Notamacropus eugenii: one gene and its partners. The protein of the gene in region 2 binds, or shares a complex with, the protein of the main gene of each other region. Links are inferred from orthologs where the notes say so. Each region holds a gene or a part of one and is shown on either strand. Other genes may lie near its edges.

What was found. Proteins that work in one complex are often made in the same cells at the same time.
Region 1: ARPC1B (region 2) and ARPC5 share a complex: the UniProt entries of both Homo sapiens proteins name them as parts of the arp2/3 complex. The link is inferred for Notamacropus eugenii from reciprocal best matches to the Homo sapiens genes ARPC1B and ARPC5.
Region 3: the proteins of ARPC1B (region 2) and ARPC5L are in contact, whole or in part, in a cryo-EM structure (PDB 6YW6), measured with the Homo sapiens proteins. The link is inferred for Notamacropus eugenii from reciprocal best matches to the Homo sapiens genes ARPC1B and ARPC5L. Residues at the interface, in NP_005711.1 of Homo sapiens: Arg118, Lys138, Arg142, Phe164, Ser201, Gly203, Trp204, His222, Asp223, Ser224, Thr225, Leu240, Ala241, Ser242, Glu243, Thr244, Leu245, Pro246, Phe281; in NP_112240.1 of Homo sapiens: Asn21, Lys22, Arg102, Gly139, Leu140, Gly141, Ile144, Arg145, Thr148, Arg150, Lys151.

The regions. Positions count from the first base shown.
Region 1 is NC_092873.1:461,445,760-461,449,504, forward strand, and holds the start of ARPC5 (actin-related protein 2/3 complex subunit 5), read left to right. Parts: upstream 1-1,099; 5' UTR 1,100-1,234; coding exon 1,235-1,377; intron 1,378-2,902; coding exon of another isoform or gene 2,903-2,931; exon of another isoform or gene 2,932-3,519; intron 3,520-3,745. Other genes in the region: APOBEC4 (putative C->U-editing enzyme APOBEC-4), read left to right, coding at 98-378. UniProt on the Homo sapiens protein: Component of the Arp2/3 complex, a multiprotein complex that mediates actin polymerization upon stimulation by nucleation-promoting factor (NPF).
Region 2 is NC_092874.1:379,899,765-379,903,509, reverse strand, and holds the start of ARPC1B (actin-related protein 2/3 complex subunit 1B), read left to right. Parts: upstream 1-735; 5' UTR 736-993; intron 994-3,745. UniProt on the Homo sapiens protein: Component of the Arp2/3 complex, a multiprotein complex that mediates actin polymerization upon stimulation by nucleation-promoting factor (NPF).
Region 3 is NC_092872.1:447,142,821-447,146,565, forward strand, and holds the start of ARPC5L (actin-related protein 2/3 complex subunit 5-like protein), read left to right. Parts: upstream 1-1,273; 5' UTR 1,274-1,469; coding exon 1,470-1,633; intron 1,634-1,961; exon of another isoform or gene 1,962-2,064; intron 2,065-3,745. UniProt on the Homo sapiens protein: May function as component of the Arp2/3 complex which is involved in regulation of actin polymerization and together with an activating nucleation-promoting factor (NPF) mediates the formation of branched actin networks.

The sequences.
Region 1 (3,745 bases), on a different chromosome or scaffold from region 2:
GGATCATTAATCAAACATGCTCATGACCTGCCCACCCCACCCCCCACCTTTCCAGTCTTCTTCAACCTTGCGTGTCTTCATCTACTCTCCCATACAGTGACATCAGCCTCCCGGCTGTCTCCCACGCTGGACATCCCTTCTCCAGACTGGGGGCCTTTCCCCAGGCTGTGTCCCACGCCAGGTACACTCTTCCCATGTCTCCCTGCCAGCGTCTCTTGCTTCCTCCAAGCATCACCTAAAAGCGGACTCTCCCAAGACACCGTTCTTGGCCCTGTCGGGTGGTGCCCTCCTTCTGGGAGGACGCCTCGCTTTGTCCCGTATTCATCTGGCTTGTGCCCAGTCAGGCCCCCTGGAGAGCAGGGTCTGGGTTCAGCCTAGCACCCAGCGGGCGCTTAACGGCTGCTTGGGAACGGACCGACGGACTGACCCCCCCCATACACACCCTGTTTGCAACAGGTTCATCGCAGGGAGGTCACCCCCCCCCCCCCCCCCCATCTAGCCATCTTCCCACCTCCAGCCCGAATTCCCCAGTCAGGCTTTGAGTCTTGGGCCCGCGGGCCTCCTCCCTCCCGGACATTCCCCGGGGTCCTGGCCGGCCTGGGGGGGCTCCGCTTCACAGACGTGCGCCCCTGCAGTGACCTCCCTCCCGCGGCACGAGCCCACAGCCCCCCAGCGCGACGGGACCCTAGTTACAGCGCCGCGGCGGCGGCCGCTCCAGTCCGGCCCCGCCCCCACCCCGGGCCCCGAGGACCCCGAGCGGACCAGTGTAAGGACCGGTCCACAGAGTCTGTTTCTATGGTAACCCCCTGGGGATCACGTGGCCCGCGCGGACGACCAATCGTCTCTTACCTCTGCCTCCTCCAGCGGTTTTGCTTTCTGCCCTTCCTCTTTTTCTTTCCGCCCACCCCTTTCTCTCAACCCCGCCCCCTTTCTGCGTGGGAGGAGTCACTGGGGGGGGAGGGGAGTTTGCGCTTGCGTACAAAGAGAAGCGCGCTTCCTCCGCGGGCTGGCGCTGCCTTGGTGGAGGAGGGGTAGGCCCAAGCGCCGGAGTCCTCCCCTCCCCGAGACGCAGGCGCAGTAGCGGCCGGCGCAGCAGCGGGCGACGCCCCAGAGCGGAAGAGGGAAGTGAAGCCGCAGAGCGAGCCGAAGACGCCGGAGCCGGAGCTGGGGGCTCCGGGGACAGCGGCGGCGACGACCAGCACAGGGGCTAATTGCCACCCGGTCCGGCGTGGGGATGTCGAAGCACACGGTGTCGTCGGCCCGGTTCCGAAAGGTGGATGTGGATGAGTATGACGAGAACAAGTTCGTGGACGAGGAGGACGGAGGCGAGGGCCAGGCCGGGCCCGACGAGGGCGAGGTGGACTCGTGCCTGCGACAATATCCTTCCGCCCACCCGCGGGGCTCCGGGCCGCCTCCCCGCGCGTGCGTGGGCCAGACCTGTCACCGGCCTGGCCGCGGGGGACCCCCCTGCCCACGACCCGGGGCGCCCTTCCCCCTTCCACGCCAGCGCTCCATTGACCGGTCCGTGGGCCGGGGAGAAGACTGGGTGCTGTCCCCTGTGTAGAGCGAGCTTTTGAAGGGGAGGGGGATCAGTTCATTAGAAGGCTGCTTTTTCCTTTCATAATTTAAAATATTTTTCCGGGGGGGGTGGGGGCGGCAGAAAGTCTTTATCCCCGTTTATCTTCCCAAGATCTCCTTATTATCCCTCGTCCTGAAGGTTTGGTCCGGCACGGATTCCCTCCTTAGCCTAGGGTGGCCTCAAAAGGCACAGAAGCTGTCCAGAAAACCTCCCGGCCCTCTCTGGTGGAATTCTACCTGGCCAGAATTAGCCCTGAGAGAGGAAGATGGTAACTGGGAGGAATAGCGCACAACATTTGAGGGATTTTCAGATTGTTCCCATTTTTAGTTTAAATGAGGCCACCGTTCCCCAGCTTTTGCATATCTGAATATTCATAAGTGGGTTTGAATACATTTTGTAACATCTATGGGAGGATGTAGGTGTTGCAGCGACCAAATCTGGTTTTTAAAAATCCCTTTGTTTTACACTGTAATAATGGTTCTTGAAATTTTTTTTTAATCAGATGATTTTTTTGCCAGCTTTTGTTACAGGGAGAAATATGTAAAAAGTAAATATACTTGGTGGTACCGTTGATGTCTTAAGGCATTCTTAAACACAGCTCTAAATGTTTATAATCATCATTTTTCAGAATTTCTCTGCTTGTACGTAGAAATGCCTGTATGAGCTGTGGTTCTGCTCCGTTACCTTTCTGTGAAATATTTAATAATCATCCCCTACTCTGTATGAACCTAAACTACAGAAAGGAAGTAGCCTTGAAAATAATAAGAGGAGAAGGGATTCATTTGTTTTGGGTTTTTTGTTTTTTAATTCAGTCATTGATTCCTCTAAGCCAATAGGTTGTAAGAGGCACCATCCTTTGTTACTTACCATAAATTGTCTTCTGTTAACAAATTATCATTTGAAGACAGCCGGGGTAGGAGAAAGCCTGCTGGAGTAGGAAGACCCAGGTTCTAATTCCAGTTCTGAGCTATGTGGTCTTGGCCAAGTCAGTTCCCCTTTGGAGCTCAGTTTCCTCCACTGTAAAATGAAAGGGTTGAACTTGAACTCTCTTTAAGGACCCCTAGTGACCTAAACCTATGATTTTTAATGTCTGATTTGACATATCTCTAAATTATTTTTAAGTGATTTGACTATATTTTGATTAGGATGTGCATTTCATTCAAAATATTAGTAGATCAGTAGATAAAACTGCACTTACTAAAAAGCGTAAAGATAAGTCTTCTTTATTTTACTAGACCTAGGGAAAGATATACAGTCTTGGAACCGTCTATATGGTTCTAGAAATGGAGGAAACAAATGAACGCTGTGTGGTTTTCCTTTTAGGGGAACAACTCTACATTCTGACAGTCTGATTGGCTTTCAGTTCCTCATGATTGCTCAGTCGGTGGTGCTTTCAAGAAGGAGAGTTTCAGTCTTGTTGCTGTGGTCTGAATTTGGTGATTAACCTTTTGACAAGTCCAAGAAAAAGAAGAAAAGAAACATTTTCTAAATTAAACCATTAAATGAAACTTTTAATGAAAGAACAAAGTAGGAAATTATTTATAGTTTTGCCTCTTGTTAGGTTGGTTTTCTGGTGCTTCTTTAAAGAAGGTGGCCTTATTAGATATTCAGAGGTGATATTCAAATTAGCAGTGTATTTAGTACCCTCTTTAACTCAGTGTAAGGTTTTGGGAACAAGACAGCATTCTTTTCCATTAGAACTTCCTATTTTGGTAGATGACAGAAAAAGGTTTTCCTGTTAGGACTACACCATTTGGGGTTAACAATAGTTCTACATTACAGTAGTTCTGTTGTAACATTGGGGTTTCTGTAATCCTTGCTGTGTTACATCTTCAGGTGATTCTTTGCATGCTGGTGTTAATTTGAAAATCAAAACCTATCAAGCTTATATTAAGGATTTGGGGAACATATGTGAATGAATAAAGTAGGATCAAATGGTAGTGACACCTAGTGTTTTTTTTTTATCTTTACATGTATTTATAATATAGAAAGTATTATTTCATTGTAAATTTGCCTCCTGGAAGCTGTCACATTGAATTTTCTAATATGCATCCATCATAGTAGCACAGGTTATCCATAAGCTACAAAGGTACAATTCAAATAAAAATAATACAAGGGTAATAAAGGAATATATAAAGGGACAATATTTGATGAATAGTTTTCATG
Region 2 (3,745 bases):
TAAACAAATAAGGATCAGGCCTAGATTTGGGATTTCACTAGTCTAGGGAACTCCTAGATCAGGAAACTCCCTTTACTTCTCCAAGTTTGGATCTTTTCTGCAACTTATGGAGAAGCGACTTGCCTTGCTCAGGGTCACACATCCAATATCGATCAGAGACAGAATTGGAACTCAGGTCTTTGAGGTTAGCTCTCTAGATACTGTTCCACAAGATAACGCATTTGATGAGGGGGCAAGCATTAAAAATGAGAAGTTGCTGGTAACATCCTTCCCCCTCCTCCCAACCCCCCAAAGCTACCACAAACCACAGGCTTCTAAAGTTGTGAAGTCCACACTGGTATGTAACTCTCCAGGGGGAGGGGGTGGGGAGAGGGGCACACGTGGCATTTGGGTTCTAGCTGCTTGTCTCCAGATTTCACTCCGGGCAGTGGCTGCCCTGTGAGTGAGTGAGTGAGTGAGTGAGTGAGTGAGTGAGTGGGTGAGTGGGGTGGGGTTGCTATCTGCTGAGGGTTTGAATGAATCTATGCGCCTTCTTAGCATCTCGGGAGTCACAGGACTCGGAGGTGTTGGAAGGGTGAAACACCTTTCCTTCTATGTTTCCAAGAGCACGAGGGGAAGTGGTCAGGGTGCAGGCAGCCTGGCAGAGCCAGGGAGCAGAGCAGTAGGAAGGAGAGAAGAAAGGAGGGAGTGAGAGAGGGAGGGAAGGAAGGCGGGAGCGAGAGCAGGAGGAAGGGAGGGCGGGAGCCAAGGCAGGGCAGGCGGGCGGCTCGCTGGGGCTGCAGTCCCCCAACGCCCACACAAGGAAGTGGTTGCTTCTCTTGGGGAGGGAAAGGGAAGTCAGATTACTTCAGAGAAACTCAGAACTTCTGTCTTCAGTCCCCAGAGCCGCTTGGGCTGAGGTTCATGTGGACTGCTCAGAGTCCATGAACCAGCTCGCCCAGGACTGAGCATCCCCCGGCCCCGGCTCATCCGCATCTGGCTTTTCTCTCCAAGGTAAGGAAGAGTGTGTGTGTGAGTGTGTGTACCTTTAAGGCTAGATCTCTGGGAGATGGGGGGTGTGTGTGTGTGTGTGTGTGTGTGTGTGTGTGTGTGTGTGTGTGTGTGTGTGTGTGTGTGTGTGTGTGTGTGTGTGTGTGTGTGTGTGTCTCAGAAATGCGCAGGCAATCATTTTTTCTTTCTGTTTAGTTTTTCTACTCATTAAGAATATTCTGCCTCAAAAAATATATATTCTGCCTGTTTTAAAGTGAGGGTGGAGTGACTTGGACAGCCCTTCCCATCTCTGCCCCTTAGGTTTCGAAGTAAGGATGTAGTCAGACGTTTCTCCAATGAGACTTCTTGTGAGTTTCTCCCTCTCCACCTCCCTGAAATATGCCTGGTTTCCTATTTCTGCTCTCCCACTCCCTGTCTCTACTGGAATATATAGGGTCTAGGACCAGATATTATGAATATGAATTTGGAATCCTCTTAGAAACTAAACCATTTCCCCACGAGCCTGCTGTCTTAGAGAACTCTACTTCTCTCTCTGCCTTAACACCTCCCCAGGGTCCTCATCTTCAAGCCAGCCACAGGTTAAGGAAAAGAAGATTCTTTGTACCTGTTTGCATTCCCAGAGATGAACACAGTGCCCGGCATGTGGTGTTTAATAAATGCTTGCTGCCTTTTGGAGATACAGAGAATGTTCTCTGCATCTTTTACAGAAGCCCAGAAAGCCAGAACCCTTAGACCATAGAGTTTTAGAATCTAAAGAGGCCTTGAAAGGAGAAACGATCATTCGAAAGGGATCTTGGAGCATAGAACACAGAATGTCAGAGCTGATAGGGCTGTAGAACATAAGACTGTCCGTGCTAGATGGGACATGAGAAATCATATGACCCAATCCCCGAGTTTCACAAATGAGGAAGTTGAAAAGCCCATGCATGGCGTTAGCAGCAAAGGTGGGTTCAAAAAAGGTGGGTTCAAAAATGTGTCTCCATTCCTAGGTCCCCAATTCCCCAGAATTGATCCTGGGGTTACCCTCCCACAGAGTTACCCTCTGGGTCATATCTCCCAGAGGACAGATCTGCCCACAGAAGAGGGGGGAAGGAAAAGAGGTTTTAGGAGGAAGCCTACTTACTGGCTGTGAACGTTAGGTAGAAACCTGTGTCCTTTCCCTAGTATTCAGCAGTTCTGGTAACTAATTATCACTGAGCCTAGAAGGCAAACCCTTGGACATGGGATCTGTTGATTGCTCCGTTTTCCAATTCACTCTTCATGCTTTTCAGTCTACTTGAACTTTGCACTGAGGGCAGAGATCTTGGGCAGGGAATAGACTGGCTAGAAGTCAGGAGACCTCTAGGGTAAAATAGAAACTCTTCTGGCTTTGAAAGCCCTTCAAAATCTGGCCCCAGTCTACCTTTTGAGTCCATTATACATTGCCCCCTTCCCATGCTTGGTGGGCTAATCAAACTAGCCCTGTTCTTTCTTACATAGTACCTTATTTCCAATCTTTGGGCCTCCATATCAGTGGTCCCCTGTGCCTGGAATACTTTCCTTCCTTTCCACCTCAAAGAGTCTTATATTTTCTTCAGGACTGAGATAAAACACTGCCTCCTACTTGTCATCTTTCTCTTTTCTATTTTTTTTGAAGGCAATAAGGGTTAAGTGACTTGCCCAGGGTCATATAGTAAGTAAGTATCTGAGGCCTGATTTGAAGTCAGGTCCTCCTGACTCCAGGACTGGTGCTCTATCCACTGCACCACCTAGCTACCCCTTGAAATCTTTCTCAGTCCCCTCCAAATGCTGACGCCCTTCCTCCCTAAGTTACCTTGTATTTATTTTAAAAGCTAACGATAATAATAGCTAACATTTGTATAGTATTTATTATGTTACAGGTGCTATGCTAAGCGCTTTAAATTACTATCTCATTTAATCCTCATTATAACCCTGGGAGGTAGATACTATTATTATCCCCATTTTATAGATGAGGAAACTAAGACATACAGAGTTTAAGTGACATGTCTAGGGTCACACAGCTAGAAGCATCTGAGGCCTGATTTGAAGATAATTTCCTATTGCCCTTATCCACTATGCCACAGCTGCCTGGTATTCATTCAATATATATTTATTAGTGTTGCACATTCTCTCTCCCAATAGAATGAAAACAGGGACAGTTTCATCTTGTCTTTGAATCCCCAGTGCCTAGAACAGTGCTTGGCACATGGTGGCCAATTAATAAATGCTTTTGGACTGATTGACTTGGACTTTAGTTTCCAGTTTGTACTAAATCTGTGACGTTGGCCAAGTAACTTAAACTCTTTTGACCTCAATTTCCTCTTTTGTGAAATGGAAGGATTGGTTAGGTGGTAGCTAAAGCCCCTTTAAGCTCTGAGATTATTGGAGTTTATGAGACCAGTTACTCTCTTCCTGAGTAATTCCCAAAAAGTTGAAATCTGGTCCAGAGGAAAGACCTCTGGATTTGTAGCCTGGGTTCAAAACTCAGTTCTGCCATTTAGAACCTGTTGACCTTGGAAAAGTTGCTTAATCCTTTGGGGCCTTGGTCTCCATGTCTGTAATATGAGAGGATTGGACGAGATGGTTCCTGAGATCCCTTAAAGCTCTTAAATCCATGTTCTTTAGGCCTGGCTGAGAGAGGACATTTCACATGCATAGGAGATTCATCCAAAGAGATGAATTCAGCTAAGAGGGACCTCTGGGTTCTGTGGGTCAATTTAGGCAGGAAGTGTGTTTGTTGCTGCCGATAAAAGGG
Region 3 (3,745 bases), on a different chromosome or scaffold from region 2:
TGGCTCTGAGCAGGTCACTTCCCTTCTTTGGGAATGTCTGTCCCTCTGTAAGCTTCATTCAATAAACATTTCTTGGACAGCTCCTCTACTTATTGAGATCTGTGATTCATCAGTAGTAAAGGCAAGGCAAAGATGAGTGATAGTCCTGGCTCTCCAACAGCTGTAATTAAATGATCAAAAAAGAGAATATTTGTAAAGCACTTAGCAGTCAGGTTCTCCTAGGAACCTCACCATTCTGCAAAATCACATTATCAGCCTTGGTACCGACCTCATCAGTACCCTCTGCCTCTGGGACCCCTCTGATTAAAGGGGAAAGCTGTTCTCCATGCCTAGAATTCTCTCCCTAATTCCACTTCCTTACTTCTCCTTCCTTAAAGTTCCTTAGATTGTAAGCTCCTTGAGGGCAAGATTGTATTCTGCCTCTTTTTTATGCCTAGCATTTAGCACAATTTAGTACATAATGGGTGCTTAATAAATATTTAGTGATTGACTGAAATAATATATTGATTAACTACAAGAAGCCTTTCCCACTCTTCCCTCCTACTAGGGCCTTCCCTTTTTTTCTTTTTAGATTAAAGGGGTCATCCCTTGACAAAGAGGCCTATTCACTGAATGGGTATTAATTCACTCAAAGTGAGAACCTGAAAAGTCTTCGCCTAAAAGAGCCAGGGTCTCCCACTACATCCTGGGCCATCTCCAGTGAGGCTGGTGACCTGGCACAGCCCTCCCTCACTCAAAACCAGGTCAAGGGCAAGTCATGTCGTCATCTCCCTGACGTCATGGTCCTCTCTGAGAAGGAAGGCCGAACACAGGCCTTTCCTCTGGGGCTGTCTCCCCCTCCTCTCTTCGTAGCTGTCCGGCCAGTCTCCTGGGCAGACTGAGATCCGGGAGAGCAGGGGCCTTTTCTCCGCCTCCCTGACCAGTGCCCGCTGACTCCCTGGGCCAGCAGGGCACAATCACTCACAAATTCTCAGACGGCGAGGTCTGGGAGGGGCCTCAGGGACGCTCCAGCTGCCCTTTCTAGATTCGGGCAGAAGAAGACGGTTAGTCCTCAGCCCTTCTTACTTCCCTGGGCTGTTGCTGATGGGGTAAATCCTGACACACTCGCAGTAGGGCATCGGTTTGGAACGATTATTTACCACCACGCCCCTCCCCCGCCCCGCAGCCGCCAGCCGGCAGAAGCGGCCCGGGGTCAGCCTCGCCGGCGCAAAGCAGCCTCCTTGCCTCCCCAAGCCCAGCCCCGCCCCCTCGCTGACCGACATCCGCTTCCGGCCCTGGCCGGAAGTGGGTGTGCGTCGCGGCGCGGCGCGCGGCGCGGCGGAGTCGTCTCCGGAGCGTTGCCGGGGCCGTTGCCGGGCTCCGAGCGCTGTCCCTGCGGGGTCTTCTCGCTCGCGCTCTCGCGGTCTCTCGCTGTCTCCTCTCTCTCTCTCTCCCCCGGCCTTGCGCGGGAGGCGGAGGCGGCCGCCGCCATGGCTCGGAACACGCTGTCCTCGCGCTTCCGCAAGGTGGACATCGACGAGTTCGACGAGAACAAGTTCGTGGACGAGCAGGAGGAAGCGGCGGCGGCCACGGCGGCGGAGCCGGGCCCCGACTCGGACCCGGACCCCGGGGAGGTGGACAGCCTCCTGCGGCAATATCCTTCCGCCCCCCGCGCGGGCTCCGGGGAGGGAGAGGAGGAGGGGGCGCAGGCAGGGAGAGACCCAGAGGAGGGGGGGAGGGGTCGGGGAGGGGAGCGTGGCGAGGTGGCGAGCGCCGGTCACCCCCGCTCACCCCCAGAGCCTTCCAGGGCCGCCCCGCGATTCCGGACACCCTTCTCCGCCCGGCTGCATCCCACCGGTCCGGCGGTTCGGAGATTCCTCTCTCCCCATCCTAGTTCTGTGCTGCAGGTTTAGCTTTTCCGGTACATTGTAGAACCCGCTCAAGGTAGGAAACATTTATCGAGGGTCCCCCCCCCCACGCACCTCAGGGGGTCAGCACCTTGTTTTCCCCTCTGGTGATTTGCACCTCCATCCCTGCTTTGTGTAAAGAGATTGGCAGCCTCCGGGAACTTGCCCCCGAAGCCCTGGGACTCTGGCTTCTCCAAGTGTTCTGATTTCCCCATCCCACCGGCCTGGGACTGAATACAGGTGTGAGGGCCGGAGGGATGGGCCAAGTTGGGAAAAATGTGGAGTGGTTGGTTTTACCTGTTCAGAAATGGAAGGGGTGGGTGTCTTTAACTGCATGGGACCCCACCCTACGGAGTGGAGATGTAGGGGGGGAAATGGGGCAGGAAATGGGGCCCTTCTCCTCAGCCGGTCTGGGGAGTGCCCAAGGTGATCCAGTGCTGAGTAATGGATGGGGTCAGAGCAGTTCCAGATACAGATCTGCATTCATTAACCGTGCTTCATACCCTCATGCTGTGACAGGGATCGAGCCTTGTTAAAAATAGGTGTGCGGTGGGGGAGGGGAAGTGAGGGAAGCAGTTTTAGAATACAAGAAGGCCCCGTGGATTTTTTACCCCTGCCTGGGAATAGAAAGGAAAGCTGGAAGGGCTAGTGCTGGTTCCCACTGTCTGAAATTGTGACTTTCTTCTTTATTTCCCCAGAAGTACTTTTTTTTCTCCTGCCTAGAATGTTTGGCTTCTAAAAATAGCCTCATCTCATTCTCTGTTAGTATATTTTTGCTATTTCAACAGCTTTTAGTGTTCCTTGTTTGGCATATCTTTTCTCCATATTGTTTCCCTTTGAGGTTGGAAGCAGTTTTAGAGATTTTAAAAAGTGAGACAGCTTCTCATAAAGGCCAAAAATAGGCTCCCTAAACTCTGGAAGTGGTCTTATTTCTGGCTATGGAAGCAAAATCTTTATAAGCAGGAAGGTTATCAAGTGGCGCTTAGCTGTTCATGACTTCAGAAAGAAGAATATACTTCATTTTATTGATGGCTATAGTCAGCTATGTCTCTCTGGTACAACTTCTAATAAAGAAGTTTGACACATAATGTGCAGCTTTTATTTACCCAAAGATCCTTTAATTGGTTGACTCAGTCTCAGAAAATAAGGACTACTCCAGGGAGCAGTCTCAAGTGGAGGAAATTTAACAGCTCCGTTGAACAGCTCCCTGTTTTATGTCTGAGGTTTACAACAACCCTGTGAGGACAATAATGCAAACATTATCACTTTGGTCTGACTGTACTTTTTCTTTTTTTGATCTGATCATACTTTTCTCTCCTTAAAGCTGACTTGTTAAAAAAAAAATCATAACTATGGCTTGCAGTTGGTGTTTTTTTAATGCATCTCTATGCATCACAGGGCCTGTGATTTCACTGCTGTAGGGAATTCTCAGAAAACTCACTCTTTGCATGGCTACATCATCTCTGCAACTTAGTGTCTTAGAAAGTTGCCTAGAGCACTGAGAGGGCCAAGAGTTGCCCAGGATCACAGAGCCCTTGTGAGTCAGAGGTCTTGGCTTTAAGGTCAGTTCCCTGTCTATTATGCCTTGCTATTTCTAATTTTAATTGCATACTTTTCTTTTGTAAAAAAAAATTTGAGGTGTTAGTAGAAAGAACTCTGTACTTGAAGTCAAAAGACCTGGGTTTGAATTCAGTTTCTGCTTCTTATTGTCTTTGTGACCTTGGAAAAGCAACTTAGCCTCTTTGGGTCTCAAATTTCTGTAAAATATGGCTAATACTATAGTCAGTGGAATGTAGCCTGCATTCTTCAAATGAAACAATGGATCATAGGAAGTCACAGGATTTTGAAGAGACTTGACA